4 linked regions of the Diceros bicornis minor genome follow. The protein of the gene in region 3 purifies or fractionates together with the protein of the main gene of each other region. This does not show direct contact. Links are inferred from orthologs where the notes say so. Each region holds a gene or a part of one and is shown on either strand. Other genes may lie near its edges.

What was found.
Region 1: the proteins of SMAD7 (region 3) and ACVR1B purify together in Homo sapiens (affinity purification with western blotting; 3 studies listed by BioGRID and IntAct, with this or other methods). This does not show direct contact. The link is inferred for Diceros bicornis minor from reciprocal best matches to the Homo sapiens genes SMAD7 and ACVR1B.
Region 2: the proteins of SMAD7 (region 3) and TGFBR1 purify together in Homo sapiens (affinity purification with western blotting; 19 studies listed by BioGRID). This does not show direct contact. The link is inferred for Diceros bicornis minor from reciprocal best matches to the Homo sapiens genes SMAD7 and TGFBR1.
Region 4: the proteins of SMAD7 (region 3) and USP15 purify together in Homo sapiens (affinity purification with western blotting; 3 studies listed by BioGRID). This does not show direct contact. The link is inferred for Diceros bicornis minor from reciprocal best matches to the Homo sapiens genes SMAD7 and USP15.

The regions. Positions count from the first base shown.
Region 1 is NC_080756.1:18,121,302-18,128,386, reverse strand, and holds the start of ACVR1B (activin receptor type-1B), read left to right. Parts: upstream 1-4,069; 5' UTR 4,070-4,097; coding exon 4,098-4,188; intron 4,189-4,699; exon of another isoform or gene 4,700-5,115; intron 5,116-7,085. UniProt on the Homo sapiens protein: Transmembrane serine/threonine kinase activin type-1 receptor forming an activin receptor complex with activin receptor type-2 (ACVR2A or ACVR2B).
Region 2 is NC_080767.1:9,159,039-9,166,452, forward strand, and holds the start of TGFBR1 (TGF-beta receptor type-1), read left to right. Parts: upstream 1-4,408; 5' UTR 4,409-4,423; coding exon 4,424-4,508; intron 4,509-5,091; exon of another isoform or gene 5,092-5,204; intron 5,205-7,414. UniProt on the Homo sapiens protein: Transmembrane serine/threonine kinase forming with the TGF-beta type II serine/threonine kinase receptor, TGFBR2, the non-promiscuous receptor for the TGF-beta cytokines TGFB1, TGFB2 and TGFB3.
Region 3 is NC_080755.1:41,553,819-41,560,982, forward strand, and holds the start of SMAD7 (mothers against decapentaplegic homolog 7), read right to left. Parts: upstream 3,009-7,164; 5' UTR 2,479-3,008; coding exon 1,866-2,478; intron 514-1,865; coding exon 460-513; intron 1-459. UniProt on the Homo sapiens protein: Antagonist of signaling by TGF-beta (transforming growth factor) type 1 receptor superfamily members; has been shown to inhibit TGF-beta (Transforming growth factor) and activin signaling by associating with their receptors thus preventing SMAD2 access.
Region 4 is NC_080756.1:7,670,012-7,677,754, forward strand, and holds the start of USP15 (ubiquitin carboxyl-terminal hydrolase 15), read right to left. Parts: upstream 3,012-7,743; 5' UTR 2,915-3,011; coding exon 2,826-2,914; intron 1-2,825. UniProt on the Homo sapiens protein: Hydrolase that removes conjugated ubiquitin from target proteins and regulates various pathways such as the TGF-beta receptor signaling, NF-kappa-B and RNF41/NRDP1-PRKN pathways.

The sequences.
Region 1 (7,085 bases), on a different chromosome or scaffold from region 3:
CTGCTGAATGGAGCCACCAAGCAGCCAAACGCTCAAGTCAGATTATCCCGGAGTCATAGAGGGCCATCCCCTTTCCTCCTCACCTCCCACATCCAATCGGTCTTGTGGTTTCTACCTACTTAAAATCTCTTCAACCTGTTTCTTTTTCCCATCTCTATTGTTGCTGCCTAGGGTCGGGTCCTCCTCCTATCTTGTCTAGGCCACTGGAATTGCCTCCTCTCTGTCTCCTTCCCACCTGTCTTGCCTTCCTCCAACCATTTGCACAAAGCTCAAGTTCCTTTGGTTCAGCAAAGCGGTCTTTCTAAAACACAAATGTGATTTTTACCTCCTTGCTTAGAACCCTTCCAAAAATACTGGAGAAAAGTACACTTTCAAGCGTACTTCCATGTCTGTCTATCTCTCCAACACTACCTTTCAGCTCAAGGCTCCTTCAACGAGCACCCTCTGGGTGTGCCGCCATGTTGCTTACGGCTCCCCCAAATGCCAGGCAATTTCACCTTGGTATTTTGTCCATACTGCTCCCTCTGGCGGGAATAATCTCCTGCCGTACCCTGCCCCAAACAAGCTTGTCTATCTAGGCAACACTCTTTGATATTCCAATAGTCAGTTGTAGCATGGCCTCTTCATGAAACCTTTTCCACCTCCTTAGCTTGTCCCTGCAGAGTTGAATCATCCATGCCCTCCTGAGTGCCCCCACTTACCCTTTACATGTGTGTGCTATAGAATACATATAACACACTGTTGGTTTTTTATTTTTCATGCTCATCTCTGTTAGATTGTAAGTTCCATGAGGGCAAGGACCATGACTCATCCATGTTTGTATGTTGTACCTGATATCCAGTAGGTGCTCAATAAGTACTTGTAGAATAGATGAATGAAGATGAGCTACTGCCCTCTTGGGATTAATGACCCTGCTGCTCGCCAAGGCAAACTGTGCTGAATCCCCCAGGAGGTGGGGTCTCTTGGTGCATTGTGACCAAGATGGCAGCTGTAACACCGGATGGTCTAGTCAGTGGAGCCTGGGGAGTAACAGCAGGACGGACAAGTAGTTCATAGACTGTGATGTGGGTCCAGGCCTAAGATTAAGGAGGCTTTCAGAAATGGACACTTTGCTGAGGGCTTCAGGGATGGTAGGAGAACCAGGCTGTGGGAGGAAGCAGAGGGAGATTGGACAATCTGTCTCGGTGCAGCTTGGGACCTAAAAGGCAAGGTAGATGCATCATCTAGGAAAGCTCTGACTTGAGGAGATGCCCCAAACTGTCAGGAATAGGGTGTGAGGGATACTACTACCCCCCCATCCCCCACACCCCATCAAGTCTAATTTCCCACCTTCACCTGGCTCTTGAAGACCAGTCCCTGGGAAAGCGTGAGATGCTGTGATGTTGAAGAGGCACAGGTCTAGTAGGCTGTGGCTTCTACACTTAATTATATGTGAGCGTGGGTAAGTCGCTTACCTTCCCTAGGTCTCAGCTGCCTCACCCGTAAATTGTGCATACCCTGACATGCCTCAACCACGTCATAGGATTGTAGTAAAGGTCAAATCATCATCATCATCACAGCTATTCTTTTTATATCACTTCCTATGTGTCAGAGACTATGCAAAGGGCTTAACATACAGTATCTTCATCCATCCTCACAACATCTCTATGAGATAGAACCATCATCAGCTCCGTTTTACAGATGAGTGAATCGAGGTTTAGGGAGGTAACACATCTTGCCCAAAGTCAAATGCTATCAAGTGAGCTGATGGAGCTGGTGTTTGGTCTGTGGACGCAGCATTCTGGTTTCCTGGGCTATATTCAGGTATGTGGCTGACCTTGCAGTCCAGGAGTTAAGTAACCACAGGTCCCCTCTGCGATTCCTGGTCTCACAGCCACAGTGGCAGCACTTAGCAAGGTTTAGGGAAGGTCAGTCACTTGCCCTTGGCCTCAGAGATGTGCTCCTGAGCGGTCAGCTTTCCCTTCCCCACTGTAGGGGTAGGTGAATGTACTGTGTTGAATAGTGTCCCCTCAAAATTCATGTTCACCTCGAACCTGTGAACGTGGCCTTATTTAGAAATAGGATCTTTCCATGTCAACAAGTTAAAATTACTTGAATTCATACTGGATTAGGGTGGACCCTAATCCAACAACTGGTGTCTTCATAAGAAGAGAGAAATTTGGATACAGAGGTACAAACACAGAGGGAGGACGGCCACGTGAAGACAGAGACAGAGATTGAAATTATGCTTCCGCAAGCCAAGGAACACCAAGGATTCTGGGAACCACCAGAAGAAGCTGGAAGAGACAAGGAAGGATTCTTCCCTAGAGCCTTCAGAGAGAGCATCGGCCTGCTGACACCCTGGTTTCAGATTTCTAGCCTCCAGGACTGTGAGAGAATAAATTTCTGTTATTTTAAGCCACCAGTTCGCGGTACTTCGTTCTGGCAGCCCTAGCAAACTAACACAGTAACCTAGCGCCCTGCCTTCCACAGCTGGAAGCCCTAAGGGTGGGTGGAGCGGAGCTTAGGAGACCAGTTAGAGGGACCGGGGGGGGGGGGGGGGGGGGGGTGCCCATTGTGGGGATGAGGGAGAGCAGTAAAAAATAAGGTGTTTACTCATCCAGCCACACTGACGAACTTGTAGACAGTGCCTCTGCATGACTTGGCACGTGTGTTTGTGTGTGAGTTGTGTCGGGGGAATGTGTCCGTAGTCTTTTCTCTGGATGTGAGGATGGGCCTTCTTCAGGTTGGTGACAACTTATAAGGCGAGGATTCCTTTTGAGAATCCTCCCCCGCCTTTGGTCATTCTCCCCACGCATAGATCTCAGATGAGGAAATTCAGCTGAGAGAGGTTAAAAACTTGCCTAAGTTTTCACACCAGTTAGTTAGAAAAGGAGAATTCAGCCACAGAATTCTGGCTCCACAGACCTGCCCTTTTCATGATCTCAAGCTCTTTCTCAAGCTAAAGAAAGTGAACTCCTTTCAAAAAGATACGGGTGATTTAGTTTACCTTTTATAATAGAAAGTAACACTTGTTTATTTGTAAAATATTTAGAAAATATTGAAATGTTTAAAGAAAAAGTAAATAATTAATCTGGCGATAACTGATCATATTGAGTCATTTCCTTTCATTTTTCCTTCCACATAGATACATATAATCAACAAAATTAGAATACCGTACATAGTTTTGTATTTTGCTTTTTCATTTAACATTATCTCATGAACATTTTCTCATGTCCTTCGTTTTTATAAACATAATTTTTAATTACTAAATAATGCATCATCATATGGATGGGCCATATTTTAAGTTGTCCATTATTGCCTACTTAAGTTTCCAGCTTTTTACAATAATAAATATGCAACAGTTAACATTTTTCATAAATATCTGTCCTTGTCTCTATTATTTCTCGAAGACAGGGGATAATACAGGGTCAACGGGTATGAATATTTTAAGGCATTTGATATATAATGCCAAATTGTTTACCAAAAGGGTTCCACCTACCAGCACAATGGGAGTGCCTCACACAGCACCCTCGCCAAGATTGAGTACTATCATTAACAGCCTCGGTGTGTTCTGAAAAGGGGCATCCCATGATTCCATCACACAGGTTGCTCTGCGTCCAGAGGACTGCACGGGGCCAGACGGGGCAGGGAGACCAGTTAGGAGACGGTGCCCATGACCCCGGTGGGACGTGATGGGGGCTTGAGGCTAGGCAGTAGAGATGAAAGGAAGGGAACGCACCGGACTCATAGAACACTGGATGCCGGGGGAAGGGGGTCGGTGCAGATAGAATAACTATGCGCTATGTGGGGTGCAGGAGAGTGCTGAGGCTGCGTGCCCGGCTCGGCCTCCTCCGCGCCGCACTCGGCACCCACCCGCGAGGTTGGCCGAGGCGCGAACCCCTCCCATCCCTTTAAAGGGACACTCCCCTTTAAGGCGGGCGCTTGCGCGCACCCGGCCCCGCCCTTCGGGGGCGCGCGCGGCGGCCGCGGCGCCGGCTCCGGCTCCGCCGGGAGCGCACGTGCCGGCGCCGGGCGGAGGAGGAGGGGAGGCGCCGGGGGCGCGCGCGCGCGCTGGGCGCTGCTGGGCTGCGGCGGCGGCGGCGGCGGTGGTTACTATGGCGGAGTCGGCCGGAGCCTCCTCCTTCTTCCCTCTTGTTGTCCTCCTGCTCGCCGGCAGCGGCGGGGCTGGGCCCCGAGGGATCCAGGGTGAGTCCTGGGGCGGGGGCCGGGATGGAGAGGGCCGGGCGAGGGCGAGGCCTCGCGCCGCGGCCCCTGGCTACAGCGCGCCCCCTCCCCACGCGCACAATATGGCCGGGCGGGGGTCGCGGAGGAGTCCGGGTGACCCTCAGTCGGCTTCCTCTGACGCCCGAGGCGCGGCCGCCCAGCCGGGACCCAGCTCACGCCGGGCCCCTGGACACCCTAGTCCCCTTCCAGGCGGAGCTGGATTTGGGGAGCTCTCGGGGGTCGCTCTCCCAGCACCCCCATGTTCCATAGAGGGGAGTGCGGGCTTCCTTCCCCAAGATTTGCAGATCATCTTTCTGTCCCTCAGCTTGTTCGGGGGCGGGGGTCTTCATTCCCTCCCTCTAGATGCTCCTGGGGGGCTCCTTTTCTCCCGCCAAGATTGTGGGGCTTGGGCGATGGGGTCGTTGCTTGTCCGAGGTATCCTGATGTTGAGAGGCCTTGCGCTCCTCAGATGATAGGGGAAGGGGTCTCTAACCTTTCCCTTCAGATCTTGCACTTGGGGTGTCTCTTCCCCTCCCTCTCCTTCCTCCCTAATCTTCTGGGAAAGGGAGTCACATTTCCCCTTCGCTCAGTCCCTTGAGTTCAGTGGGGTAAAACCCCCACCTCCAGGACTCATGCCCTGTGGAAGCTGTTTGGAGGAAGTGAGACGAACAGGCCCCTAAACCTTTTTGGAGCTTGCTCTGGAATCTCTAACCCTAGGAAACCTGGTTCCAGAACGGTTAATCTGCATCTAGGTGTATTTGCTTTCCTTCTCGCCTCGCCCACCCCACCCCAGGGGGCCGATTCAGTTAATCACTCTGTGGATGCCTTTTCAGGTGAAATCCTAGAACCTGCCTCCACCCCCCAAGATTATTTAAAGATCCCACCACTGGACCGTCTTCCCGGGCCTTGGTCAGTACTTACCTTCCCACACAATCCCTCTTCCCAGCCCTTCCCCCCACGCACTCCCGCACTCTCATACACCCCTTACCTTCCAACCCCCACAGCCTTCTGCTCCCTGATACCACCCCCACCCTGCCCACTGTAGAGGTGGGTACCTTTCTGTGGGACACTCAACTGGGTGTGTTGTTTATGAGGCTTTGGGGGCTGAGAAGAGCAGATGAAACCCTAAAATATTTAATTTAAGAGAGTCGTCTCAAATGTGTTTTGGCATTGGGGTGGCAGATGAAGGTTATATTTGGCAGTTATATTGAAGTGATTATTGACCCACAGATTGATCTGGGAGAGATGATAAGGATTGTATTCGCTCCTGATGTACAAAGCCTGCTACTGCTTTGACTTCCCAGCTGCCCCTAGCCTTCCAGCTAGGGGAGATCAAGTGTGTGTTCTGTGGCTCTCCTCGCCACTAAAAATGATTCTCAGGTGGATTCAGTCTTCTTTAATAAACCAGACAATCAAGGAAAGACATCATTGTACTTTGGCGTCTCAAAAACAAGTTCATTGTCTCCACGTTTGATATCTGCTCCCAGTGGTGCAGCCTGTGCAGAGGGGTCTTTGTTTACTGGCTAATGCTTCTGTTAAGCACCTGGTGTGTATTCCTGGGTCTCGCTGCTCTGTGGTGTGGGTAATATGCCGTGGGGTCTGATAAATACAATGAAGGTGGATGAACACAGCCTGACATTTGTTGTACGAGAATGGTTTCCATGAATAATGTTTGCTGGGCCTTCTGATGGGCCATGTTTTTGACATGTATAACGTAATGTTATTTCTCTAGTGAGGTAGTAAATAAGGGGACTCAGCCTTCAAGTTTGATATTTTATATGTGTATGAATAAATCTTTAAATTCCTTCCATAGGACTTTTTATCCTATCTCTGATATATCCAAGATTTCTCACAGCCATTTCCCTGTTGATTTGGTGTAGTGCCTATGGGTTTTTTCTTGTTGGTGTGAGCCTAGTAAAGAATGTTTAATTGATAATCCAACTGGTTCTGAATGGGGCAGAGTTCATTTGTTGTAACCTTCCTAAAAAGGATGTTTGTTGGGGTGAGGATGGGTGGGCATGATAGGGAGTTAGTTTCTTTTTTTGGTAAATTGGAAATTAGGTTGTGTGTCCAGCAAACATTCTCGAAGGCCTTTAAACTTCTTGGCCAGACACTACAGTTTTTTCCGGGACACATCTAGTTGCCAGTAGTGCATGCTGCAGAGACCACTGTTGCAAAAGGCTTAGAGTAAACCGTCAGTTCTGGGAAAACAGAGGCTGTGGGATACCAAGAAGTTGATTGCTTTCCTCCCCTGCACTGCCTCAGTCAGGCTCCGCTAGGTGGGCTGGGGGAGTGGCAGAGCCTAGCGGCCCTGATGCCTGGCAATTGGACATGACATGAGGGCAGCTAGGATGGGTGTTTGTATTAATTAGTGAACTAACAGCAACTTAGCAAAAGGCCAGTGAGAAGGAAAATGAGTACCAGGTTATAAACAACATCCATTTGATAGGTGTACCGTGTTTTAAGGCCTAGCTTTGGAATTTTCACATTGGTGTTTAAAAAGTTAAAATTGAATTAGTTAGCAGGAGAACATGACATTCATTTCTTAAAGACAAGAGCAACAAGGGAGATGTGAGGTTCTGATAGGAACATTTTGAATTTCTGTGAACAGACTAAAAATCTCATTTCAGGCCAAGACTTGTAATTTTGTTGAGTGGACATGGGTTCGAAGTACAGTGCAAGTGAACTGTTGTAGAGAAGAAGAGAATCTCTGGTTAGTTTTGTTACAAGATGGAACAGATGTGATTAAAACATAATAAAATGGCTACTCTGGTTAAAGGTTAGAGCCAGATGGAGGGAGGAGGCTGGTTTTCAGCCCTAGAACTTCGCTCCCTTACCAGTTATCCTTGAACAACCTTTCTGTGACTGCCTCAGTTTTC
Region 2 (7,414 bases), on a different chromosome or scaffold from region 3:
GATCAACTTAGAACTCTATAGCCAGTGAAAACACTGTCCAAAAATAAGGATTAAATATAGACGTTTCAGTCAGGCAAAAACTAAGATTGTTTGCCGCCAGCCAACTCTCGCTAAGGAAAATTCAAAAGGATATCCTTCAGGCAGAATGAAAGTGATTTCAGATGGAAAGTCTCAAGGTAAAAAGAAATGAAGATCAGAAAAAATGGTAAAAAGGGTTTCAAAAACGGCCACACGTATTCGTCTCTTGGGATCCACGCCCCTTTGCAAGGTGATTTTGTAGCTCTTTTTATCAAGAGATGGAGTCTGTTTCCCCACCCCTTGAAACTGAGCTCAGCTCAGTTCATGCCCAGACCACTGGGATGTGGCGAAATGATGTTGTGCCAGCTGTAAACGTGCACTCATTATCCTGGACCCCTGAACTGTCGTGTTAACACGCCCAGGCAAGCCTGCTTCAGCATGAAAAACCCCGTAGAGGAGCTGATCCAGACCATTACAGATCTGTTCAACTCCCAGTTGACCTGCTAGCTGACAGCAGACTCATGCGAGCTCGGCTGAGGTCAGCGTCAATTGGCCCAGACCAGAAAAACTGCCCAGCCTACACAGAGTCTCATGAGGAACACATGGTTATTATTCTAACCACTAAGTTTTCAGGTGATTTGTTATTCCATTAGGAGCACCAAGAGCTAGCAATAGACAATAATGGTATAAGTCAATAATATCCTGTGGGTTAAAAAATAAGATAGAAATAAAATACACAACAATGATAGCATATGACTAGAATTGAAGTGATTTAAGGTTAAAAAAAAAAAAAAAACAGAAGAGGAAGATGTTTATTTTTCTCATATAGTAAGGACTCCAGGGTAAGCATTTTAGAGCTGGCACAGTTGCTCAAGGACTTTATCAAGGACCCAGACTCTTTCCACTTTTCTCTCTACTATTCCTAGTTATAGCCAACATCCTTATGTTCACAAGATGGCTGCTGCACCTCCAGGCAATGCAACTGTGTTCCAGGCAGAAAGAAGGTGAAAATGTGATGAGTCTGTCTCTTCTTTACAGGGAAAACAATATCTTTCCCACAAGCTCTACCCGGTAAACTTCCGCTTATATTTCACTGGCCAGAACTCTGTCACATAGCCATATCTAGGTGCCAGGAGCCTGGGAAATTGAGATTTTTACCTAGGTGAACTGCTTTCCTAAAGGAAATGAGGATTCTGTTATAAAGTGAATGTAGGAATGGGTATAGATTAGGCAACCAGCAGTCTTTGCTCTCTGTTTGGGAGAAAACATCTTACTTAAGGGAATAATCCAAAAGGAAAAGCAGACAATGTACTCAGTATAAAGATTGAGAGGTAGCATCACATAGGGGACAAGGTCCTGGAGTTCGTCTCCTAGTCCTGGCTCTGCAGCTGACTTGCTGGGGGACTGATCCTCAGTTTCTTCTCCTTTAAATCAAAATGTTAGAATAACAAACCTGTAACTCTTTTTGAGAGCCCATAGAGACCGTGAAGGGAATTAACATTTATGATAGAGTCTTCATGTGCTATATAGGTCATTTAGACCTTACAACAAATCCATGAGTCAGTGTCATTATCCCATTTCACACCAGGAGATGTGAAACCTCAGACAGATCAAGCAGTGTGTACAGATCCCACAACCCGTAAATGGCAGAGTTGGAATTCCAACTAGGGTCTGAAGGCTTCCAAAGCCAGAGGCTTCTTTCCATCACCCACAGTTTCTCAAAAGGTGAAATAAGTGCGTACATTTTTATTTATTGAATTTTAAGGGCATACTTTCTAAAGCACTGTCTTTCGAAGTGTGGCCTGGTGACACGTGCAACAGAATCACCCGGGGTGTGTATTACAAATGCAGACTCCTGGACCTCCTTCAGATGAACGGAAGCAGCCTCTCTAGGGCTGACACCCCGGAATCTGTATTTTTAAAAGCTCCCCAGGTAATTTGGAGACATTTTAAAGTTTGAGAACCATGATTTTAAACTTATAATTTATTATTCCATTCTAAGGTAGTTTATTCATGGATCCGTGGCTCATGGAAATTTCCTCCAAATATTAGGAAAATAAAATTTAAAAATAGCCTCTTTCTCCTTCCTGTTCCTCAGTGTCCTAAGGAACACTCCATTGCATGGAAAATGTTAAGGAACTGGAAGTGTGTCATAGAAGATATCCTAACGCTGATTAACTGAGGCTCTGCACGGCAAAGGCTTGGATTAGCATGAACACGCATGCTGATTAGAATCATACAGAGCTGGAAGGGGATGGGCAAAGGAAATGGCATTAACTAAATATTTACTATATTCCAGACACATTACGTCATTTAAGGGGCCTAAGACGTGTGATTCAACCCCTTTCATTTATAAATGGGGTAGGTACCATTATATTTCTGTTTTAGAGATGAAGAACCTTGTAATGAGAGAACAGTCACTTGTCCGAGATGAATCATTCATTCATTCATACAATATATATCTCTTGAGCTCTTATGCAAGACGCTGAGAATAGAGCAGCAAAAAAAGCAGTCTTGCGACCTCAGGTGTCACAAGGCCCTGAATGACCCACCAAGTCTCCACTGAAGAAACTGGAACAGAGAGAGCAGACTGGGACTGGAGCCGGCCAGAAGCAGTCTCTCCTGGTTTGGTCAGCCTTCTGCGGCGGGCGAGAGGAAAGCTTGCTGCTGTTGTCTCCAGCAGCCCTGGAGAGCAGGCCGTGACCTGGGTTTTAGCAGTAGCTGCATCCCTGGGGAGGTGGTTCAGTGTATACCAGGCCCTCACCTCTCCAGAGGGGCAGGTGAGGGGTCTGGAGGGAGGGCCTAGAAGTGGAACTTGAAAGCGGGATGTGGAACCCCCAAATCTCATCATATCCTCTCACTTACCTTGGGAGATAGATATTATTTCCATTTTATAGATGAAAGAATGGAGGCTCAGAAAGGCCAACTGACTTGTTTAACTGTCCCAGCCCGGAGGGGAATAGGGCAGGTCTCAGATCCCAGCTCCACGCCGCATCCTGTCGCTTTGCAGCTCAGAAGGGAGGTCTTCACAGGCAGGTAACAGGCTCACGGGGTCGCGCTAAAGTAATTGACAAAGCGATGCTAAGGGCTGGTTCCGATCCCTGCTCCCAAGGTTTATTTCATTCCAAGTTCAAATCACACAGAAAATAAAATTTTCTCCTTAAAAGGTTCTGTGGAAAAATGTTCTGTGTTCTCTGTAGCAGCCTCCTTGGCTGTGTTTGCGTCTGAAGAGAGGACTAGTCTGACAGGAAGAATTACAAATCTGGAGCTCATTTTGGCGTCCCGGGGGGAAGGTGGGTGGAGCGTCTCACAGTCAAGTAGGAGTTCAGAATGAAAACGTAGCCGAGGTTATTTGGGTTTCCAGCGACACCTCAGAATTATTGTGCAGGCGTGTCAGAGGCAGCTCAAAGTAATGACTGCTCCTCTCCGCCCCGGGGGTGCTGCGTGCTAAGAAGGGGAATCCCCCTCCTTTGGGGGGGGGGCCTTCCCTTTCCCACCTGGATCAGGGAGGGGTAAGAGGGAAGGAGTGTGGTTTGGAGCGCCGTTCTGGGTCTGCTCTGAGTTCCGGAGGGAGGCGGGAGGCTATTCGGGGGTATGTCTGAGCTTAGGATGTGAGGTCTGAGGCTGGGACCTGAGGCCAGGATTTGAGGACTTTCTGGGCCTGGAATTTGGGGGGCGGGGAGCCTAGGTTGGGGCTAGACGCTGACAGTGGGAGGAAACAGGAGACTGAGTCGTCTAGGAAGGGCAACGACGAAGAATCTTGGGGGGGATGTTGAAAGTTAAGGCGTGGATCTGGGGAGCGGAAGTTGAAGCCTGCCGGCGGTACTGCGGGTCTGGGTGAATGGGGATGGGTGGTGCAGGGCTGTGAATGGGGGCCGGGGCGGCGCTGGGTCAGTCCCAGATCTTAGGCGCCTAGAGGAGGCTAGAAGAAAAGAGCGTCGAGCCGCCACAGCCCTTTTCCGAAAGCGCCTCACACACGCCCAGACACACCCATCGTCCCGACCTTCCTCCGGGACTGGAAGGTCGCAGGGCAGGGGCTCCCTAGACCCCGGCCCCACCGAGCCTGCTCCCAGCGGCGAGCGGCTCCGGCCGGGACCGGGGTCTGGCGGCACGGCGCCCCGGGAGCGTGGGGGCGTGGCCAGCGGCCGGGCGCCTGCGGCCCCGGATTGGCTGCCCGGCGGGCCCGCGGGCGGGGCTCCGGGCTGGGGCCCGCGCGGCCGCTCGCAGACGGCCGGGGGGCGTGGCCGGCGGGAGCCCGGCAGCCAATGGCCGCGCGTCCCCGGAGCAGTTACAAAGGGCCGGAGCGAGGCCGCCGCGGCGGCGGGGGAGGTGGGGCGAGGCGAGGCTTGCTGAGGCGAGGCGGCGGCCGGGCCGGGCCGGGCCACAGGCGGTGGCGGGGGGGACCATGGAGGCGGCGGCCGCTGCTCCGCGTCCCCGGCTGCTCCTCCTCGTGCTGGCGGCGGCGGCGGCGCTGGTCCCGCGGGCGGCGGGTGAGCGGCGGCGCGGCGGGCGGCGGGGCGCGCGGGCCGGGCCGGGCCTCTGGCTCGCTCCTTCCCTTTCTCAAACATGGCGCGGGGCCGGGGGCGCAGGTGGCGGCGCCGGGGCCGGCGCTGGGCTGTCCCGGGCGGGGCGGGGGCGTGTGTCCGCGCGGGTGGCCGTGCCCGGCAGCCGCGGCCGCCCCCGCTCCCGGGGAGGTGCGTCGGGCGGGGCCGTCCGAGTCGGGGGCTGCCCTCTGAGGGGCGGTGGGCGCGCGCCGAGGGCCGGGGGTGTGAGGCTGGCGGGGCCTGGGGCTGCTCCCCGCGCCCCCGGGGTACCCCACCCCGAGCGGCGGGTGCGAGGCGCCCGGGCGGGGTCGGGGTCGGAGCCTCCAGGCTTCCCCGCGCGGCGGGCGGGGGCGACGTGTGGTGGAGCCCCGGGGTCAGCGGGGCCGCCCTGGCCTTCGGCGCCGGCCCGACCCCGCCGAGGGGGCTGCCCCTCGGGCCGGGCGCGGCTCCGGGGGGGCAACTGCGGAGCTTCGTGTGAGGAGGAGCAGGAGGCACGAAGATGTGCGGAGGGGCTCTCCTTTCGGGCGTCTGGAGGGGTTGAAGTGGATCCGGGAATCAGAATGGTGCAGATTGTTTTCGTAGTAGAAACTTGAACGTTTGCTCACTCTGCGGCGTTTGGAGTATTTGAATGGGAACGACTCTGTGAGTTGATCAAACGCTTTTATTTCCTCGAAGGAACGTCGCTAGTGATGTTCCCTTTCTTGAGTGACAGTAGTTTGAATCAGTCGTCTGTGTAGCTGGTTTTCAAGGGAAAATGTTTGCTCCGTTTTCCGGAATATTAAATCAGGATGGGGTACGTGGTCATCACCTACCGTCGTGCAAGGAGGAACTAAAAACTTTGTTCGCATCCAAACTAAGATAGTCGAAACTAAAATAATAGAGCCTTAGCGTTGGAAACTAAAATACAGTGAAAATACGTTTCTGTTTCTGAAATTGAATACCAGATATTTTAAAAAGCAAAAACAAAAAACTCAAGACTGAGGGTGCCAATTATTACTAACAGCTACTGTCTGTTAAGAGCTGACTATGATGTAGATGCATAAAGTACACCGAAGTACATTATCTAATTCTCACAACTAAGCCCTCAGGGCTAGTGGCATTTGCCCCATTTTATAGATGAGAAAACTGAGGCAGGGGAGAAGTTAAGTATTCAATTACTAAGAGCTGGAGTTAGGGTTTGCACCCAGGGTTCAGTATTCCAAAACCTGTACAAGCTTAGTATATACACCTAACCGTCCTGCATAGCCCATTTTTCTTTTTCAGTCCTGTAACGAGCAGTTGATCTTTATTATTCACATTTAGATTTTGCTCTTGCAATTTGAAAATCAGGTTGGCTTCTTTCTGATTCCTACTGCATTCTTGGAGTCCCTTCACACTGGGCCTGCATTAGAGGAAACAATGGATTTTGGACATTGGCCTAAGGAGGCAGGCAAGATGAATATGTGGACAGCAGGGAGAATCAATATAGTTATGAGTCAAGCATACATAACATTTCCACAACACCATTAACTCAAATAGTGTAGTTCACTCTTTTCCACCTAGCCTAGCACACAGAGTGTTCAGGTATTCAAATAACAGTATTCCCCTTAGTTGATGGACAGATTGCTGAGTCCGCACCCTGGAGGAGCTTACACACTGCACTGGCATGCATGCAACACAAAGCTGATACAGGTGCTGTTGCTTTTGTCTGGACTACCTCAGCTGGTCTGCCTGGCCTCGTTTTAAGAGCTTGCAGTTGTTCCTTATTGTCTGGGTTATCAGTTTTTTATTTCTCTGCCCAGCTTCTGCTCTCTCCCATACAGATTTCTCTAGGAACATGGGTTCCCTGTTCCTGGTACACAGTTTAGTCCCACTACATCTATGTATATAACCCATGTGAGAATGTTGTTTGCTTCCTTTCTGCCATTTCATAACTTTTTTCTTTGAACACTTGCCTAAAACTCAACTCTTCTTTATATTAATGCCTCTTGAATGTCTCCTCTTTGTACGCAGCCATCACTTTAGGCTGCCTGTTATCCCTCAAATCTAGTTGCTTCCAGTGTTTCTCTCATCTAGGCTTTTCTATAGGCTACTGCTAATCTTCCTCAGCCATCCCATAAAGGGTTTACAAGATTTCCCATTTGTATTCAGCAGTTAGAGCAGCGCTTGAAGCTTATGATTAGGGCCATCTCTGAGTATCCAGCCAGAGCTCACTTCTCACTACTGCAAGCCCTCAATTCCAGCAATTTCTGTCTTCCCTCTGACTCCTGACTTGGCAGCTTTCACTGTATACTTAATTTTGCCGCTTCTGGGAGTATGAGGAGAGAACTCGATCCTGACTTCCTATACTGGTTTAGTTCCTGAACTTTCCATTTCCCTGAGCTGTATAGCACTTACAGTTTGTGCTGTCCATTTCTGCTGTCTTGCACTGTTACTTAACTATACTCTTGAACATGTGATAGGTACCGAGAGGGCAAGAGTCATGTCTTTTATTTCCTTTATGCTCTCAGAACCTAGCACTGTGGTTTATATTTTGTTCCACTTAAATGCTTGTTCATTAAGTGAATTGCATTTGACTGAGTATTCCTTTAGTATTTATACTGTTATATGTACAGTTCATGTGATATTAATTGATAATTCTGTGTATAGAATCAGGAAAAGTCGTATGATGTGGTGAAAGAAGCAGTTGGTTATTAGCTTTGGTTATGAGTCCCAACTTCACCTCTAGTTGTGCAGAAAATGGGGACGATACCTGCGTTTCCTAATTCATGAGAGCATGGAGATCAAATGAGAAAGTCATCTTGGAGTTTGAGGTTGCTATTTGTATGGGTAATAATAGGTGGGGCTGATGTTCACCCAGCAATTCCACTGGG
Region 3 (7,164 bases):
TCTCTCACTCCAGGCCACGGTCCTCTCTGCACTTTTTTAAACTGTCTTCCCTTCCATCAAACTATCCATTCTTCCCACCCATTCTTCTGGCACTCCCAGAGTCTCCACATTTTCCCATCAACCTGTCCTATTTGGTTCCCAGGATACTTCTGCGTGGATCAAATTCCACGTGTTAAAGCTGAGCCAACTTTGGCCACGGAGTGCAAACACACGAAAAAGGAACAAAATGTAAAGCATATCTAGGAAACGTCGCTGCCTCCCCCCTAAACATATATACATATCTCCAGCCACAACAAAAACAGGAAAAATCCACCAAACTTCCAACAGAGGAAACCTATAACCACCCCCGACCAGACCCAGCGCCTCCCCAAAGCCACTGCCTAGACATAAAAATCTTGGTTCTAGAGGCTCCATTTCTAACTTAAGATAGGAAGGATATTTTTAAAATCATCTACTCACCAGTTGGTTTGAGAAAATCCATCGGGTATCTGGAGTAAGGAGGAGGGGGAGACTCTGGAATTAAAAAAGTAAGAGAAAATAAAGGCCGGGCCATGAGAAAGAGAGATAGAAACTTATGATAACAGAGGCATTCTTTTAGCCCAACTGTTTGTCTTAGCTGTGGGGGTTGGAGGCAGGGCCGCGAGGCGGTGATTGCCTTGATATTTAGCTGTCAGATAAACAAAAGAGGCCGCCTGGCGCCAGCCTCGGCGCTCCGCTCCTCCACGTCTGCGGCCGCAGCCGCCGCGCTCCACCGGCCCGGCTGGAAACCACCGGCTCGGCCGCGGCCGCGCACTTCACAGTTCACAAGGCGGGGGTCTACATAGCCCCCTCCCCGTCCCCGAACTTCAGCCTCGCTCCCACTGTCCACCGCCCAGGCCCGCCCCCCAGGGGCGCAATTCACCTCCGCCCCCGCCGCTGCGCTCCGCGCCCGCGCGGGGAACGCGGGGCTCCCCTTACCCAGCCCACCCGGGAGGCGCGCCCCAAGAGCGCTGGTGAACGTAGGAGGGTCTGTGGGCGCCCAGGATGCACCCGCGCCCCCATCCCCCCGCAGAGACGTTGAGAAAAGGGAAGCAATGGAGGCAGCTGGAAGGATAAAGAGGAGGAGGCTGGGGTCTTGGCGGCGAAGCCCAGGCCCCAGCGCATTAAGAGGCAGCAACGTCACGGAGGCGCTGGGGGCAGACCTACAGTCTATACAGTTCCATAGTCTGCGCTTTCCTGTGCTGAAAGAAAGGAAAAAGCAGGGGACACGCAACTTCTCCTGACTGCTTGTTCTTTTCCACCCTGAGCTGGCAGAGTTGAGAGTAGATATCCAGTTTGGCCTCCCTCCCTCCCTCACCCTCTTTGCCCCAAAACCCCAAAGCTGCGCATCCAGGGCAGTATCCGGGCCACTTGTGCACGACGTGACTCTCCTTATTTACTAAAGGAGCAGAGGCTCTCCAGCCTTTACGATTCGCTTCTCCCAGCCTTCCTTGGCGGGCTTGGACCGAATCCAACTCGGCCACACACCTCAACGCCTTTCCGGGCGCGGGGGAGGCGTGACCCCCAGTTCTCTCTGCACCCCGAACTGATCCGGAAATGAGAGCGTCTCATTTTTAGCCACACGTCTGTAGAGTGTGTGCACGAGCAGTGCCCATAAGCCCCCCTCGGAGCAACCGAGGAGAAAAAAACTGGAAGGGAACCCCCCAGGGAATGCCCTTCCAGTTTCCCCTTGTTCCTTCTCTACTTTGGTCGCCCAAGTCTCCTCCCAGGAGGGAATGTACACTCCCCTCCAGAGAGGTGGCTGCACAAACACAGCCCGCAGGGGCTTTTCTTCCACCGCTTGAGCGCCAGGGGGAGGGGAAGGTGGGCACAGAACAACTTCTTACCTAGTTCGCAGAGTCGGCTAAGGTGATGGGGGTTGCAGCACACCAGCTCGGGGTTGATCTTCCCGTAAGATTCACAGCAACACAGCCTCTTGACTTCCGAGGAATGCCTGAGATCCGGCCACCTGAACACTTTGCACAGCAGGAGAGGGAGCGAGTAGGACGAGGGCGGCTGCGCGGGCTGCGAGCCGGCGGGCGCCCCCAGGCCCAGCCTGCAATCCAGGCGGCCGGGCAGCAAGAGACACGCGGTGCGCGTACCGCCGCGGGACTCCACGGCCTGGAGCAGCAGCTCCAGCTGCCGTTCCTTCAGTTTCTTGAGCACCGAGTGCGTGAGTGCCTTCAGATCCGCCTCGGCGCCCCCGGCCGCGCCGGCGCCCGCGGCTGGGGGGTGGGGATGGTGGTGACCTTTGACACCTCGGACCGCCTTACCCAGGCAGCAGCCAGCCCTGCCCGCGCCGCCGCCACCGGCCCCATGCGCCCGGCCGTCCGTCGCCCCTTCTCCCCGCAGCTCGCCTCCTCCTCCGCCTCCCCCCGCACCCTCCTCCTCGTCCTCGCCGCCGGGCGCACGGCTCCTCCAGAGACGCCGGACGAGCGCAGATCGTTTGGTCCTGAACATGCGGGGCGAGGAGGCGAGGAGAAAAGTCGTTTGCCGGCTAAGGAGCGAACATGACCTCCGCACACCATGAAGAAGTCGGGCGCCGAGTTGGGGCAGCAGGCGCAGGCGACAGCAGCAGCAGCAGGGGCCTGGGCAGGAGCGGCGACGGCCCGAGGGGCGCTCCGTGGCATGCGCCAGTCTCCCGGAGGCCGGGGCGAGCGCGGGGGCCCGGGGGCGCCCGCCGGGGCTCGGGGGCCTGCGCTCCGGCTGCCCCACCCCGCGCGGCCCGCGCCGTGCGCGGCTCTCGGGCCCCGGCGCACCCCGGAGGAACGCGGCCGCCGCTTCCCTGGGGAGGACGAAGCCTGCCCGGGTCGGCGCCTCCCCAAAAAGAGGCCCCCCCGCAGCGGCTCCCGAGTGTCGGGCTCGCCAGCCTCAGCTTCCTACATGGAAGATCCGCGGGGGGCAAAAAACGAAAGGCGTTCGGCTGGGCTGCTGGAGGGAGGAAAAAGCCTCTTTCCCCCTTGCTAAGCAACTTAATTTGGGGGTGGGGAGAAGCAGGCAATTAAAAAAAAAAAGCAGGCACGCGATTTATTTTTTTCCTCTATATCCTTAGTAACCGGATCTCCTCGAATTCCGTGCACACGAAGACTCGGGGGAGGGGGCCGAGTGGACTTCACCCCGCATGAGATGTCTGGCGAAATAAGGAGGCTCTCTCAAAATCTAAGAACCCAATATGCAAAGCCAATGAAAAACACCACCTCCTCGCACCCCGGAGGTCTGGGGGCGTCCGGCTGGAGCTGGGGTTTAAAAAAAGAAAATCTTTACAAAGTAGAACGAGACGTTTGAGGGGTGGAAAAAGCGTATCCACGAGTTACATCCCCCTTTTTTCCTTGCAGAGCCCCGCGGGTCTTCCTCTCCTTTTCTTCTGCCAAAAGAAAAAAATCGTATATTTTTTTAATCCACAGAAAGCTTTGGCTAGGCTGCTTCAATCCTCCGCATCTGGGTGTTTTAAGGGAGTCTCTGGTCTTTCCTCCTGCGCTCCCGGGGGCCCCAGTCCTCGGAGGGGACTTCCTCGGGGCTGGCGGGGGCGCAGAGGCAGAAGATGCTGCTGCGGCGGCGGCGGCGGCTGCGCCCGGTGGGGCTGACAGCGCGGGGGAGGGCGGCGCGGCGGCGGGCCCCTGGCGGGTCGCGCGCTCTCGCCCTCCTAGGCGCAAGCTGCTCGCTAGTGCGGGGGCCGCCGGCGCCCCCTCCCCTGGCCGCGGCTGGCCGCCGGGGCTCCCCGTGTGGGCTGCTCGCCCCGACCCGGCTGCGGCGGCAGGAGGCCCCGGTGTCCTCACGCTGCCTCCTCCTCTGAGACTCTCCTCGTCGCGCCCGGGAGCCTCCTTGTCCCCCGTCCGCCCTCTCCTGGCGCTCGGGTCCTTCTGCCGCCGCCGGGGGCTCGCCGCGCCGCACTCAGGGGCTCCGGGGCCGGGAGCTCGGCAGCTCGGCGCCGGCGGGCTGGCTCTGTCTCCCGCAGCTCTCTCCGGCGCAGCGAGCGGACCGAGCACGGCGCCCGGCTGGCTCGGCTGGCGCGGCTCGGGGACAAGCTCCTCCGTGCGCCGAGCGAGCGAGCGAGCGAGTGTGCCCGGGGCTCGCCGCCTCCCGCAAGGCCTCCCGCCCCCGCCCCCTTCCCTCCCCCTTCTTCCCCCTTCCCTCCCCCGCCCCCAGCCGCCGCCGCCGCCTCTTCCCCGCCCCCCGCCCCCCCCCCCCCCGCCCCCGGCCCTCTGCTCTGCTGGTTCCACTGCGCAGTGGCGCGCCCGGCTCCGGCCTCGTCACGTGGCCGTCTAGACACCCTGTCGCTTTAAAAAAAAAAAAAAGCGATTGTGTTTCGCAAACAACAGATCGGGTTTCTAAAAGCTATTTCTCCCCCCGCCCCCCCGCCTCCGCCACCCCCTCCCGGGCCTGCAGAGGGGGGACCAACGACGGGGGGGCGAATAAAGGTGGGGAGCAGAGAAGCTCCCAGAATCGACTGAGACCTGGCCGGATCAGAGGAGAAATGGGAAGACCCGAGAGCACCGAGCGGGCTTCGCTGGCGAGTTTTGGAGCGGAACGAGCGGGTCGGTGGCCCAATTTAGACCCAGCCGCGGAGCTTCGCCGCGGCCGTCCCGCGCGCGCTCGCCCTAAGCGCTTCATTCATTCGTTCCGTTTTAAGGGCCCTGGCGGCGGATCCCCTGGCCGCGCAGGAGGGAAGGGGGAGGAGAGCGCTGTCTCCGTCTAAAAGACATTTACACCGGACTGGACCGAGGCCCTGGGAAGTGTGCGCTGGAGGGAACAGCCGGGCCGCCGAGGGCGGGGAGGCGGCGCGAATGTGACCTCAGCGGCGGCCGCGCGCTCCCTCCCGCCCTCTCCCGCTCCGGGCTCGGGTTTCTAGGACTGCCTGGAGAAGTGTGTCTTGTGTACAGCTCTGGAATGCATTTGGCTGGCTGACGAGCTGCGAGGGGCAGCATCCTGGCGGGAGAAGTCGGGGGGGGGGGCGGAGTTGCCCGCCCGCCGCGGGCAGGTTTCCTCCGGAGCCCGGAAGACCTCCGCCACCCCGCCTCCCAGCGCGGGAAGGTTACCTTCGGAGCCGACCTGCCTAGGGCATGCATATGCATGCGGGGCCTGCTTCTGCGCCCTCCACGGTCTCGTAGCTTTCAAGGTGCTTAGGGTCAGAGAGTTTATCCCTTAACCCCGGGTTCGGGAGAAGCATAGACCCAGCTGGCAGATTACTGCATGAAAATGGGTGAGGATTGGTAGGGCAAAGGACGAGAACGCGTTTACTTGGTGAAAGCTGATGGTACTGAGAAACATAATGACTTACATATATATGCATCAGTACTAAGGAGGCCACTAGTTGGCATGGTGATCTAACCTCACTTATTCAGTGACATAAGATTTTTTTTAAAGTCGTTTAGAATTGTGAGATCAGGACAATGAAACTCATTGGGGATTTTAATAAATCTTTAGAAAAGACGAAATGTACTATTTTCATTTTCCCAGCTAAATTATACTTTCTTAAAAGGAAAAGGCACAGGGACTGCCAGGTGGGGTTTGCTGGTTCGGATCCTGGGGGGCGCACCAACGCACCACTTGTCAAGTGGTCATGCTGTGGCGGCGTCCCCATATAAAGTGGAGGAAGATGGGCATGGATGTTAGCCCAGGGCCAGTCTTCCTCAGCAAAAAGAGGAGGCTCAGCAGATGTTCGCTCAGGGCCCATCTTCCTCACAAAAAAAAAAAAAAAAAAGGAAAAGGCACAGATGAATCTTAGCTTTATAGCTCAGCCCCCTACCTTCCAGCAACTTAAAAGGAGTCTGACATGCAATAGATGCTTAATAAATATTTAGGAATCAACAGAGTTGGATAGGACTTAAAGGAACATTTGGACCACTCCCCCTCCCCCAACCCACCAAAAGCACCTTTGAAGACATAAATGTGAGAGAAAAACAAGAGACATTGGTTACATGATCATCTTCAGGCAAGGGAGCCCTGAAGTTTATTGACCTAGAAGACACTGCAACGCCAAGCAGTGCAGAGAGGTGTGTAGGACAGGGCATTCTAAACATTTACTTTGTAAGGCCACATAGGCTGCAATTGTATAAGATCATAATTTGGTTATAAGTAAAAATGCTGCTTATCAAGAAGGACATTGAAACCTTGTGTGTCTGTGTGAAACTTTCTAAAGATGCAGCCTGCAAAGACCGCAGCTGAGGAGCCCAGGGGAAAATGGAGGAGGGAGGTTTGGACCCGGGTGAGCCCATCATCCTTGGCAGGGAAAAGCAGAAGAGATAGAATGAGATTTTTGAGGTGTGTGGGAAATGTATAACATACTCCCCTTAGAAAGGCTTAGAAAAAATACCAGACTAGAAGTCAGAAAACCTGATTCCGGGCTGGGGCTCTGCCACTCATGGGTTAAATAACTTGTACTAGTGGTGACCCTCACCACTAGTTGAGCACTTGGCAGGGTTTAAAAGCTTTCTGGGCAAAATTTCCTGCCCTCTCGGGGTCCCCTTCCCTCTCTCTACTCTGGGCCTCACTAGAAGATCTTCAATTTTCAAGAGAGGCTAGGCCAGGCTGCAAAGTGACAGGAAGGACTTAAATAAACAGATTAAGCAAATGTCATAATTCTAATTAAGCTTCTTGGCTAAATGAAGAATCTGGAGACTTGGAAATCTGGCCAGTGGTGCTAACACTCTGTGATGAGAGGACAGAGCACGCACAGGGCAGGTAGGTTCAGTAGGTGTTTCAGGAGTTGAATCTGACGTCACAGCTTGTCTGGGTGGAACATGCATATACTTGCACAGATATGCTCCCATATAGTGTAATTGTGGGTATTTTAATTCAGGCGTCACCCCTATGTTGCCCTCTACACACGGTTTTCCTCCTCCATTTTACTACCCTAGGTAGACGATGGGTGGGATGCTGGGCAAGTAGCTACAATGGTTGGTGCTGCTTTATGGCTCCTTGGCATCCCCTGAATCAGTTCACATCCCAAGCCTTCCTGAAAGCCAGCGCCACGCCATCGCATTCTTATTTCTTTCCCTTCCAAGAAAGAAGCTGGGCGGTAAAGGAACTCCCGGCTGGCTCGTGTGCCTAGAAAGGGAGTTCTTTTCCTTTCCACAGGCACACATGAAACCGACAAGCACCCCGTTTCAAACTATTCTGATCCTGTAAAAAAAAAAAAAAGTTTAG
Region 4 (7,743 bases), on a different chromosome or scaffold from region 3:
TCTCTTGCCTCAGTTTTGACTTTTCTGTCACCATGAAATCTAGTACCAAGCATATCATAAAGTTTGTTCTTCCTCATCTCAGACTTTGTAACTTATTTTTATCTCTAGAAAGTCAGTTTGCAGCTAAAAATCATTCACTATTTACAAATAAACAGAAACTCTAATATTCATGCAGAATCAAATTTTTACCCTTGCCTAGATGTTAGAGTTAGTTACCAGAGTACTACAAGACAGTCCTTATTTGAAAAGTGCTCACAAACTAATTAATGAAATTTATTCATTTTAATGCATTTTACTATAACATTAAAACATCAGTATTAAACTTCCAAGAGTAAACTTATGGTCAACCTACCAGTTTTTTAAATAGACCAATCAGTCTTTCCAAGATGGTTTTATATATACGTGTATATATATATACCAAGACAATGTTCCATTTGCATATGACCCATTTCAGCTATAAAATAACAGATAGGATTTGCCAAAAGACCCAGAAATGACTAATCCAGAGACTTTTTTTAAAGACGTTAAAAAGAGAAATAACTTTTTAAAGAGTTCCAAAAACATGAGCTCAACAACCAAATTATTAAATATTTTTACCAGTTCTGTACACATGAAGACACTGTCAAATTTGTAGTTACCAAATTACTTTCCTTAAAACTGTGAATCAAACTTTTACTCTACACTATTTCCTTTTTCGACTAGTTTCACCTGCTAATTGCAAGTGGCTCACATATAAACCAAACTGGTTTCTCCAACTCACCAGTACCATCTCATTCCTGCTTTCTTTTTCCCTTTAAATAGGAGGGGAAATCAGCGTGAGGGTAAAAATTTGCACATTCTGCTGTTACATAAATATCTGAGCCTCAGTTTCCTTTTCTTTAAAATGAAAGCACTGAAATCACTCAAATTTACGGACTTCCTGTATTTACTTAATCTCTAAAATAGATCTTTAAAATGATTTACAGTAACTCTGTCAAAAAGCGAAAAGACTTTCATTTGAAAAATACCAAACTTTACAAAGTTTAATGCCGACAATACACAAATTGCTCCTATCATCCTGTAATGTTAACAACACCAATTATTACTCAGTATACCAAAAACATAACATTAGAGAGAAGCAATATCCATATAAATCATACCCAGATTTAAACTTACAGGTTTCTATTTTATGGAAATCCACATTTGTCTTTTCATGAGGTGTTAATAGGGTAGGTGAATTAGGAATTTTTAAGTGTTCTTTAACAAACAATAGGAAGCAGGAGTTGATTTCCTCTTTAACAACCCACAGGCCAACATAAACATGTGTCGTAAACATAAATGTCATAGGAAATGTCCAATTTCCCCACAGTAACAAACATCTTAGGAACACTCCAATATGAACAATAACGATTATTAAATCATATTTTTTGCTGTAATGCAAGAAGTATATGCTTACACCCTTAGAGATTTTTATCATATAAACATAGTATGCAGCCTAATGAAGTGGGGAAAAAAGTACCAAGACTTAGATCAAAGTACTTCAATTCAAGTCCCAAGTCTGCCATCTACTAGCTTACTTGAAAATTATCCCAATCCCAGGGCATTTTTCTAGAAGTAAAGGGTGGTGATAAGAAGGTAACTAAAATCTAATGTGATAAATAGAAAAATCTTTTAGAATATTTCACCGAATGTAGATAAAACCCCTATAATGAAATTATTATTGTCCATTTCATAGATGAAGATACCGAGGTGCAATGATTTAAATTAACTTTCCTCAAAGTCATACTGCAAGTTAAGCGCTGGAACGGTGGCCTGACTCAGGTCTAAGTCTTATGCTCTCTCCACCAAGCCATACTGGAGTACATGACAAAATACTGTAAACTATATACCCCTGTTACGGTGACACTGGGAAGGGAAAATAATTTTTACTATAACAAAGAGGCACATTATCTTTCCTAATAGAGCACCTTCCCTTTATGTTACATATTCACACATCGAAGTTATTCCGGATACCACTTGATACGGCCGACAAGTATTAAAATCTCCACATATCTCCTTCAGTATTTTAAGTATATCCTTTGGTACTCTACAAGTTTGAATACTGGCAAGAGACTTAAGCCTCAAGCGGACTTATCTACTTTTTGCAGGCCTACGTTATCCCTCAAACAGGAGGGAAGGACTGCACTTGCAGGAGAAACGCTACCGGTTTCTCTCGAGCCTCCACTAAAGCACAAGACCACGTGGTATCGCTCAGCAGCCCGAGGTTCCCTACTCCTCTCCCTCCTTTTGACAAGGAACTGGAAACTAGGATTTCTTTCCCTGAAGTGGCGCCCTGACACATGCCACCTGTGTAGTACGAGCCGCAAACATCCTGCAGCCTGCCTCCCGGAAGAATACAAGAATCCGAATAATAGGGAAGCTGGATGCCGACGAGGCCGGCAAAGGAAACGACTGGAGGAGCGAAGCCGGTGAGCCCGTGACCCGCCGCGGCACCGGGACCTGTCAAACCCTGAGGGACTCACGCCGAGCGGCTGAAGCCCATCGTCCGGGAAGGCCCGGGGTGGGAGCGGCACTCCGGAGGAAGGAGGACGGGGAGAACCGCAGGAGCCGCCGCCGCCGCTCCCCGCAAGCCTCTCAGCACGCCCCGACAGGCCACCAACCCCGGGCCTCATCTCGAGTCCAATCTTTGCCCCCACATTTCGGGAGTGGCCAAAATCCTGCTGCCCAGAGCGGCCGCCGCCGGACCTGCCCGCACCTGTCACCAGCGAAAGACACCAGCCCGCAGTTCCCGCCCTGCTCCCCACCATCCTCGGGCCATCGCGGCCACCTCAGCCCCTTTCCCTCACCAGGTGTCCCCTTTCCGGAGCGAGGTTTTGAGCAGAGCCGCGATGTCAGACCTCTGGATGTCCAGATCCGCCGCTCCGCCTTCCGCCATCTTCTTCCACTAGCGGCAGCGGAGGCGGCGGCGACGGCGGCGGCACGCCCCAGAGCATTGTGGGAATGGCGTCCCGCGGCCCCGCCCAGCCGGCAGTCGAAACCAAAAGAGCCGGAAGGTGGGGGGTGCGCCTCGGCACAAGAGTCGGCCCCGGGGCGGGCTGAGCGCGCTGCTGTGGTCTGCTGCCCCCCACCGGCCCCCGCCCGTCCAGCAGCTCGCCTCGGCCTCCTCGGCCCGGCCCGCCCGGCGCTAACTCTCCGCCGTGGGGCCCCGGTCCGCTCCCGCTCGAGCGGTGCCACCGCCCCGTCCGTCCTCGACTTCTGCCTCCCCTCCCTCTTTCCCACAGACGCCCGAACGCCCTTATTTGCGCATTCACTCACGCTCACGGTGGGTGGGGCGGGGGCGTGGGGACGCTAGGACATGGCAGAACATTTCGACAGCTCCGTGACTCTGGGCTTTTCGTGCGAGCTCGCTGAATCTTGGCCCAAACAAAGAACGATCCGAAACCGAACGCCTGGCCGCAGTGCCCTTCCTGGGCTCCTTCCAGCGCTCCTGCTCCTGCTGTGCGGGGACCTGCCACAGGTCATTGTGCCGCCTCCCCAGGCACACCCAGACCGCCAGCCGCGGTGAAAACACGTCCCACTTCCTCGGCGGACAGGGTGTCAGATAGGTATCGAATGATGCGGAGTACCGAAGGGGAAGAAAACGCGCGAGAAACCCTTTCTCCTCGATGTCATAAAGCGACGTATTCTTGGCCGCAACTCCCCGTGGTGTGTGCGCCTGAAACTAGATAATAACACCAGCTATTTGAAGCCAATTACGTTACAAATGGGGAAATCGAGTCTCTCAAAAATCAAATGCCAAGGTCATACCGTAAGTGGAGAGGCAAGTTTATACCCCAGGTTCCGAAGCCCACGTGCTATCTGTTCGCTACAGCACACTCACTACCTCTCCCTGCGAAAATCGGAACTAAAATGTAAACCGGGCTGCACTGGATCCATTTTTTTTTAACCTCTGTACAGCCGGTGGCTAGCACAGTGCTGCCTAACATGTAAGAACCACCTAAATGTTTGTTTGTTTAATAAATGAGTTTTGGCAACATGAGGATGTTCAGAGATTTGACTCTATTAAGATAACATAGATGATGTGGGAAGTCTAAAAGATGGTTAAGAATTCCTGGATGATCTCTCTTGTTTCCCCATTTTAATGTCTGCCTCAGCTCATTTGGTGGGAATGATGGGTGTAATTATGCTAGTACGAAGTCCTGAACCCTTCCAAGTTACAGTAGTGTTTGTTGGCATTATGATTTGTATGCATCAGCGTTATAGTTGCTTATTTTCTTCAAAATAATACTATTTTGTATTATGTCATCCTTGATTTGAGAATCTGAAAACAGTTTCTAGTTACTGCTATTTCTTATACTATTTGACTTCTGACAGGTTAAGAAATTAGAGTTTCTCTTACCATGAATACCATCACATTTCCCCCCTTTCCCACCCAACCTCTGAAAGAGAGCAAACTAATTTTCCAAAGAGAGGCAGCATAGTATGGGAAGAATATTGGAGTCATATGAACGTGTGTTCAAACCTCATCTCAACCTCTAGCTGCAAAGTTCTTAACTTTTAGTTTAATCATAAAATTGAGGACAGTAAAAATCCTTACAGGATTTTTATGAAGATTAAATGAAACAACGTGTTTATTGCCTGGGACATAATAGCCAATTAATAAACACTAGCATTGCTATTGACAGGATGAGTTGTATCATATGTAAATTGTATCTCAATAAAGCTGTTGAAAAAGAGCACTATGGACTTTGAAGGCAAAACCATGCTTTCTATCATTTATACACATAACATTATCAAGAAGCGATGCCTCAAGCACACTCTGCTGTTCAGTTTCCTTTCAAAGAAAATGCATTTTTGAAATGTTGAAGCCTGTATCCGTGCAACAAATTAAAATAACTTTTCTTCATTTGCACCATGTTCAAGGCAAGGAGTTAACTGGATATAGATGTGTAAATTCAATGTCAACTTGAATTATATGTCAGATTTGTGAGGTCATTTTGTTGACCTAACTAGATGTATTCGGAGTCAGAAAAGAACTGATAGTTACAGTATTTTATTTAACATGCACTTAAAGAGTGCCAAGCCCAGTTCTAAACACTTTAAAGTGTTAAATTAACTTGATCCTCATAGCAACCCTGTAAAGTCGATGTTATAATTTCCATTCTGTAGATGGGGAGTTGAGGCCAAGGGCAGAACCCAAATTTGAAAATGAGCAGTCTAGCTCCAGAATCTAGAAGGTTTGGGTAAGTTTCTATTTTTCCACTGACCTTTATGATTTTGATTCTAGCAATCAACTTTCTAGTGACCTCAGTTTACTAATTTATGGAAATCTGCTTGTTTTACTAATGCTTCTTCTACCCTCAATTATGAAGAGAGATAAGGTGTTGTTCATAAATACTAAATTAAGGTCCGCATCGCTACTGAATCACTAAGTAGATAATTGATGAGAAATGTTACTTTCCCTTAAATTACCCAGATAATTGAATATAAACCTGGGGTTATATCTGCTTATTTTTATTGAGCATCTTTGTAACCACAGGCACACTTAGAGCCAGTTGGAGCAGACCCCATCTCTTATCAACAAAGTGATTAAGGATTGTCTTTCAGAAAATCTGCAAAGTCGTGTAGCCAGAGTATGCGCAGAAGAAGAATTCTTGACCTGAAATGACAATGGAACCAAGGATCCTCCTCCGCATGGAACCAAAGGATCAGAACACGACTGGAACTTAAAAGTCAGACTCTTATCAGAAGTGAGGAGTCCCTCATTCAGGAAGATCCGGTGTTAAAATTCCTTCCCCACCCTATCATATAAGTTGAGAAACTCATCATAAAAGTTTAGAATGCTGTCATAAATGTTTAGAACCTTACCATAAATGGTTGAAGCCCACCAATCAAAATCTGTCCCACCAGCATTTCCGCATGCCAATCTGTTTCCGTAACCACTTAAATTTTGCCCCAAATCCTGAGTCCAGGAGACAGATCTGAGGGCACATGCCCCCTTCTCCTTGCAGATCAATCTCGCAGAATAAAGCTGATTTCTCCCCCAAAAGCTGATGCCATAATTAATTGTTTTTTTAATGCATATCAGGCAAGAGAACCCCAATTTTGTGTGGTAATGTCTTCATTGATGCTTCATTGATTGCTTAGTTAACTTTATAAAGATGTACTATTTGTTTGGTGATTGTCATTACCTTCTCAGACTTTCTGTACCCTTCTTGTCCATTAAAAACTTGACTTAGGGCTTTGAGAAAGGAAAAGGAGTGTGCTGGATGCTTTAGAAATTAGGCTGGATATGAACAAAGTGCACCTTACATAAAGGCGGAGTAGGTTCTGAAATTAGAGATACTCTGGGAAAGATCCCTTCATCTTTCAAATAATTCCCCTCTCAGCTCGCTGATACGTAAGTGATCTTTTTCAGAGAGGTTCTTGTACTCCACAACTAAAAGATAGGACTTCAAATATAAACACTCCAGGAGAGAGTCAGGCTTACAACTGAGGAGTCAAATGAGAGGCAGTTTTCAACCTGGGATGGACCACAGAAAGAAGAAAGAACACTGTGTTTTTTAATAGAGTTGAATGGAAGAAAGTACAAAGGAGAATTCCAAGACAACCTTTGCCTACTTGACAGTTTTGTATGGCGCTGGCTACACAAATCTAGGGAAAAATCTGCCAGAATCAACACATTCCCTAAAAGAACAATGATTGATGACCTAGCTGTCTTTATTTCTCAACTCTTCCTATCTTTGGTCTTCAGGAACCACTGTTTCCCTTTATCCTTCTTCCCTGTTCTTCCTCTAGTTGTTCCCTCTGATTACCCCCTCACCGCACCTCCCATTCCTGTTCACCTCTCTAAGCCCTTCATTCTTTTCTCTTTCGTAATTTTATAACTCCCTCCTCCCTTGACTAGCTCTCTGAACAGCTAAAAGGCAGTGGAAGCGGGGGCGTAGTGCAAATGCCAAAACAGCATGTAGTAAAGTGCTTAATCCATTAATGAGATTTTGAAACTTGCGATATGAATAAAAATTGTAAGTGCCACGATGCCGTTTTTAAAACTAAAATATATATATATACACACACACACACACACACACACACACACACACACACACAGAGGCTCTTTATTTCAGACAAATGTTAGGTCCTGATAAACAGAAAGAAAAAGTAGTGAAATGAATACAATGTCTTGTACAAAGGGCCAGTATACTTCGATTTTGCTTCTGGCTTGGTGCCACTAACTACCTGGGTAACCTTGGCCAAGTTATTTAATCCCTGTGGGCATTAGTTTTCTCGTTATAAAATGAAGTGATTAGATTCTTCCAGGGCTGAAACTCAAAGGCTTGCAAGGGTTAGATAGAGCTACGTAAGTGGGTGAAGCAAATCCGTTCTAAGATAGCAAGGAGTTGTGGGGACTCCGAGGAACTGTCTGACCCAACTAAAGTTATTTAGATTAAAATATTTGAACAAAATTACATCTCCTACCCTAAAGGACCTGGAAAGTTTCATTTTAACATGGGCATGAAGTCTTCAAATTGATTAATTTGAGTTGATTAATCTGAATTGCTACTTTATATTTTGATTAATAATCAAAGTTCAATCAATAATCAAGTAATATAAAGTTGCTACTTTATATTTTCTTTTATGGAAGCACACACAAATTGCTATGAAAGCTGACACTAGCCTGAAGGGTGATGTCAGTCTACTCCATAGTAGATACACACTAAATGATAATAGAATTAAACTGAATTGAATTGATAAACAAATCCA